Linked DNA regions of Danio rerio. The protein of the gene in region 2 interacts with the protein of the main gene of each other region in a pairwise test. Links are inferred from orthologs where the notes say so. Each region holds a gene or a part of one and is shown on either strand. Other genes may lie near its edges.

Region 1 (3,666 bases), on a different chromosome or scaffold from region 2:
AACAATAAAGATGCAGGTTAGGATAGGATCAACTAAGAAGAAACCAATAGCCCAGGATTAAAAATAATAATAATAATAAATCAATATTTTTTTTGCAAGGAGAGAAACAAAATATAAAATGTCAAAAATAGGAAAACCCTTATTTCTATAATATAAAATCAAACAGCATTAAATTGACAATAAAGAGCAGTGGGGACATCAGGGAGTGGAAATGCACATGTTGTATTAACCCTTTTCACAATCCTGTTATGATGTGTTTAACGGTCTTCAGCATCTCAAATACTTGAATGTTTTTAATATTTAGATTTTTTTTTTTAAAAACGTATGAACATTTATATGTATTTACGTATGTAGCATATTGTCTTTGCTTCAAATTACAAAAAACAAATTACCGCTTGTGTGAGGCATTTCTAATGCAGCGTCTTTGGAGCAGGACAGTACATTTGACGTTATTCTCTCCTTTGGCTGCCGTTTTCAGTCTCACACAATTTTTTTTCCTTTTTCTAAAAGTCGTTTTAACACTATTGTGGATTTTTATTTTGTTATATGAGTAATTAAGATTGTACTTTTTTTTTTGTATTCTCCCATTCACTGCGCTCTAAGTTTTCCCCAACTATGACGACTTCCGCTACTGAGAAACCCAGAAATGTGAAAAGGGTCCATTATGGCAGTCTCATACAAAAGCACAGGATGTTGTTTCAGCGAGGCAGCAGAGATTCATTACCTGGCTTGAAAGAGCTGGAGGAGGTGGGCAGTGTCTGCAATGAGCGACTGACATTTTGTTTCATGTCATGGTTCAGTGTGCGTGGAGATGACCCCAACCAGCTCGGCTCCTCCCAGCTTCTCCGTCCTGATGGGTCTGCTTTTGTGGGACTGGATGGGGCACTGAGAGCTCGATCGTACATCTGAGAGTAATCACAATAAATTCTACATCAATATTTCAAGTATATTTCTAAAATGTAGTTCAGCACTAGTAACAAAGTATTTCTTAAAAGGAGGTTCAATAATAAGCTTACATGTAAACAATGTAAAAGCCACTGTTAATTTAATGCTGCAGGACAGAAATATATTACTGAACCCAACTTAAGATTGTAGCTTATTTTTTCATTTTGAAGCAATTCATGTTTTTTTATTTGTAAACATGTTTTTTTATTTTTATTTTATTTTAAATATAAATGGCTTACTTTTAACAGTTGAACCTTAAAACTTACTTTTAAACCTTTATATTATGAAAAAGTACCGCATGTGTAGCTATAAATGTTCAAAAACAACCTCAGAAAAAAAGCATTACATCATGCCACATTCATAAAGAATACAGCCTGAAATGTGATGCTTGAAGAATGTGTTAAGACTAACCTAAATTTATCAGGGACAGATAACAATATTGACATAAGCATGCACCTAATACAATTTGCATAATTTTCAAGATGTTTCGCTGTGTAGAATTAATAAAAGCCCTTCCACAATCATGGGAGATTTTATTTAGGTGTTTATAGAATTGCGTTCTTGTACTCACTCTTTTAACGGCGAGTGTGGCGATGCCCAGCATGGCAGCTCCCCCCACTCCCAGCACCAGCTTTGCATTAGAGAGCACAAAGTCGATCGCTGTGCCCAGCCCATTGTCATCTTTCTTCCCCTTGCGATCCCCGTTCACTCCTGCCATCGATCTTTACCCTCCTTGAGGAGCAAGAAGATAGGATAAGATGATGACATCAAATTTTCTCATTAACTGGAAGCTCCATAACATTCAGAGCTTAGATGCAGTTCACTCAAAGATCACATCATGTTGATCACGGGACAGTTCAGTTCTGGTAACAAATTGTGGTGTTATTAGACAAAAGACTTCGATAAGTAGGACTGAACAAAAGGGGTTTTATGGTTGCAAAGTTCTAGCTGAAAAAAATCTAATATATTAAATAGTATTTTATTTAACCTTTTACCCTTAAACAAATGAGTGCTTTTACAGCAAATATTATAGAAATATGGGAAATAATCAAATATACCTACAGCTTTGTCCTTAAATTAAACAAATCAAAAGTTAATAAGTGCTTCTAACTGAATAACAGCTGTAGCTTTAACATGAATATATATAAACACTAAATCCAACATAACGCTATTTTATATTTGACTTAAAGTATTTTTAAGACTCCCATCTAAAACCTCATTTATTAGAATACCGACTAGGAGGAATTAACTATTTAATCTGAATAAATGAATGAATATATATATATATATATATATATATATATATATATATATATATATATATATATATATATATATATAAATATATATATATATATATATATATATATATATATATAAATATATATATATATATATATAAATATATATAAATATATATATATATATATATATATATATATATATATATATATATATAAATATATATATATATATATATATATATAAATATATATATATATATATATATATATATATATATAAATATATATATATATATATATATATATATATATATATATATATATATATATATATATAATATATATATATATATATATATATATATATATATATATATATATATATATATATATATATATATATATATATATATATATTAGCTTAATATAAATATTTTAATAGCTATTTCGTAACAACCATCTCAAATATAAAAACCTGATCTTACCAACCAGTGTCTTGATGCAGATGGCCCAGTTGTTCTACACCAAATCTCCCAGGCCGCTGTTGAGGAAGAACTGGCCTCTCTTGAGCGCGTCCTCCCTCTCTGCCGGGGCGCTGAGGGTCTGACAGCGCCTGAACTCTCGGGTCACTACACGCCGGTAGTAGTCTCGGTCAGTGTACTGTAGATGTTGGCCTGCACGGAGCAGAGCTCGGTACAGCTGCAGCACAGCACTGCGGGACCAGCCGCCCATCAGGGAGAGCTCAGAGTGGCCAAAGACACGCAACTCACACGCTGGAGAAAAAGAAAATCAACACATAAGGAATAGTTCATCAAAAAAATTACATTTTCTAAGCATACATTAACCCTTAAGTAGACACGGGCCAGTATAAGGTTCTGATGGTATGATAACCTTGGATAAAAATATCATGGTTTCACAGTATTGTGATTCGTAATCTAAAATATGTTCTTTTTTTGGGTAAAAAAAAAAAACAGCAACTTTTTACCCCATTGAACATATTATATTTTATTTTATTTTAAGAAACATTTCTAATATTTTGAAGCAGTAAACATGTCAGGCTAAATAATTAGAATGAATCATTGACTTTTGCTGTTTTCATTGGTATCAAAAACGTCCGTTCTTTGTACCTTTCTTAAATGATCTAAGACAGTGGTTCTCAAACTTTTTTCATCAGGTACCACCTCTGAAAAAAAAATCTCTCCAAGTACCACCATAATGCGCAGTATTGAAATACAGTAGGTTCACAAAACCCTTGAGTACTTTTTTTGAGATTTTAACAGATTCGTGTGTGTTTAGCATAATTCAAGACAATGTTAGCATCTGTTAGCTCTAATTGTGGTGAAAACTGGATAATTTTGAGCTTTTGTCAGCTAATTTCATCTTCCGGGTTTAAAATGATTTTTGGGGCGGGATCAAAATCAGCGACGTATAGCAAAACTGCAAGTGCAAAGATGACACGTCGGTTTCTCGTTATTCT
Region 2 (2,907 bases):
CAACTTTCCCAAATATTATTTGATGTATTTGTTGTGGAGTTAATTCAAGCCTATGGAACGTCATTGTGTGAGACTCATCATTGCATAAAGTTTACGCTAGAGAACCCGCCCCGTTTTCTACCCGCCGCGCCCGTTTCCACTAACGAGTGGGGGGAGAACAAAACCGAAAACCACCCAGCTATACAGAGTCCAGACAGCCTATAACAAACTGTCTGTATAAACACACACACACACACACACACACACACACACACACACACACACACACACATAAGCACCAAGCAAGTGACACACACACACATAGGCATCACACTCTTTCTCTCTCTCTCACTCACACACACAGACAGCACAAAGCTTTCTCTCTCATTCGTACACGCACACACGCACAGACACACACACAGAGTGATGCTGTGTTTAGCTTGTTTGCTGCTGTCTCATTCACACACATACATACGCGTGCTCGCTCGCTCGGAAGTCGGGAGCGATATTGTTGGACAGTTACTCCCGTCCAAAATTAAACCAGTTACCGACCGCTCCCGCGCTTTATTCGGAAATGTATTACCGCACCGCAGAAATCTGGTCGGGTTGAATGCAGACCTCTAGTTCACGCACACAAACACACACACACACGCAGTTGTGACAGGATACACGTTAATATCCTCTGCTGTGTGGATATCTGTTATGTTAATGTACATATTAAACTTGATTTAATGTCCATAACCGGGATTCTTCTTTTATAATTGTACTGATATGTGGCTGTGGTGATAAAGTAAAGACGGTAAAATCTCTGTAATAAAGTTTTAAAAAGGTTTTAAATTTGTAAAACTCATTCTTGATCATATTTGATGATGATTGATGTTCACAGCGATACCAGTTTCTTTGTGTATGTCCTGTCTTGTTGATATGATTATAGGCGTTACTACAGAGACATGTTAATACGCGACGTCAATCATTTTGGTGGGTACGGGAACCACACTCCTACGTCACGTTGTGGTGGGCCGCAAAATGGGGAAAATTTGGATCCTATTTTACTGTCAGGAAATTAAAAAAAAGAGACTTAGTGTATTTTTATCACTTCAATATGACTGTGGACAAATTATACCTAAACTCAGTTATGTTCAAACTGCTTAAAAACGATGTTTAGGTGCCCTTTAAATTAGCAGTTTTCCATATTTTGTGTATTTTATTTTATTTTCTGTTTATTTATGTTTTTGAAATGCATTATGGTACATTTTCTGTGACTTTTTTCTTTACTCTTTACATATAATTTCTTATACATTATATTATTTCAAACTACTAAAGTGTGAATAAATTTTCAACATCAAAAGTCGACAGAGCAAAGATCAAGATCCCATAATGCAATTCCTACTCGTAAATAAATGGATAAATGCTTGTGAATCACGAAATACGGAAACTGTTATTTAACATGTTTTACAGCAGTTAAATTAGCTATAATATTATGTTAAAAAGGAATTTATAATAATAACTTTTGTATTGCTATAATAATAATAACTGTTTTATGAAGGTCTCGAAGGTCCCCCCTCATGATTATCTCGAAAATATCCACACTGTAACACAACAGTTCATTTTCTAGCTGTATAACGTCTGACTGAATGGGCACAGAAGTGCTGATTTATTGCATTTAAATTAGTTGTCAATATTTGCCTGTGTTTTTATTGCACATTATAAGGGAATCGTGTAATAATTTTTTATTTAGACTGGACTTCTCAGGTTGTGCTTAAATAAATAGAAGCAAAATCAAATTGATCCGTTTTACTTGGCTTGATTTCTTTTTTCTTTCCTTTTGTATTACTAGTTTTTTTTTTTACAAAGTAGTTTTGCATGTTAAAGAAATAAGGTCTAAAATGTCATTTAGAACATTAGACTATAAATGTGCAGTAAAAAGTGTCCGTTTACTCATTTACTAATGAAGTTTCTTCAGTTAATGGATCATGATCATTCTGGATGAATGAGAAAAGATTAGGCTAGGTTCTGAATATTGCTCTTGCTGATATCAAGAAATCATATGGTGAGTTAACAATGTCAATATGTATTTTTATTTTTTTTAAGTGTGTGTTTCTTGAAAACAGTAAGCATGGAAGTCCCCCCCAGTAAACCTAATCATTAAAGAATTGTACATGAGATTGAGTTGGACTTTCCATTCATTAATTCTGGATTTATTTTTCTTATTTTTTTAAATTTCAGGTTTCCCATCAATATCTCGAAACAGAGATGCCTACCAGTCTATTGACCACAACGATCAATCTGGAAGCTCTGCCAACCCCTTTGGCCAAGCGGAAGATGGCAAATCTGGCACTCGTTCCTACTAAACATTTATTAAAAAATATATATAGCAAAATGTTTTGCAACCCAGGCTAAATGTGAATTTTTGCTTGGTTCATGATTTGTGTATGTTTTTGTTTAATTTGTATGCCTATTTATTATTATTATCATTATTATTATAAATAATAGTATTAAATATAATGTTGAAGCATGAAGGAAAACAACTTTACATTTGGAGATGCCTCGTTACTGAAGAAAACTCAGAGATAAATGAAAACCCACCTTCAACACCTTTTTTTTAACCTTAGGACTGCTTTGTACAAGTGCAAGCTGTTTGATTTTTTAAAGGTGTTATTTGTGAAGCTCAAAATTTGCTGCTTCACAGTAAGGTTCCTTGATGCTATAATTTTGGTGTGCACAACATTATTATTATTTTTTACTTTTACTTTTCTTCATTTACTATTTTGTAGCATAAAATTGGTCCATTTTGTGAAAGGTTTAAACTTTTTTTTCCAACCTGATCTCACAAGAAAACGCAAGTATTTTACGTTTTGTCAGTTTAGTGGCTAATTCGTACAAATTTGTACAAGTTCAGTCATACAAAAATGAATGATTTTAAAAAGT

The links. The genes of interacting proteins can lie anywhere in the genome.
Region 1: the proteins of agtrap (region 2) and mief1 interact in binary tests that used the Homo sapiens proteins (3 or more experiments, as listed by UniProt). The two-hybrid records come from large-scale screens. The link is inferred for Danio rerio from reciprocal best matches to the Homo sapiens genes AGTRAP and MIEF1.

The regions. Positions count from the first base shown.
Region 1 is NC_133178.1:23,885,214-23,888,879, forward strand, and holds part of mief1 (mitochondrial dynamics protein MID51), read right to left. Parts: intron 2,963-3,666; 5' UTR 2,679-2,962; exon of another isoform or gene 2,675-2,678; intron 1,678-2,674; 5' UTR 1,664-1,677; coding exon 1,517-1,663; intron 906-1,516; coding exon 725-905; intron 1-724. UniProt on the Homo sapiens protein: Mitochondrial outer membrane protein which regulates mitochondrial fission/fusion dynamics.
Region 2 is NC_133186.1:18,188,886-18,191,792, forward strand, and holds the end of agtrap (type-1 angiotensin II receptor-associated protein), read left to right. Parts: intron 1-2,205; coding exon 2,206-2,330; 3' UTR 2,331-2,354; downstream 2,355-2,907. UniProt on the Homo sapiens protein: Appears to be a negative regulator of type-1 angiotensin II receptor-mediated signaling by regulating receptor internalization as well as mechanism of receptor desensitization such as phosphorylation.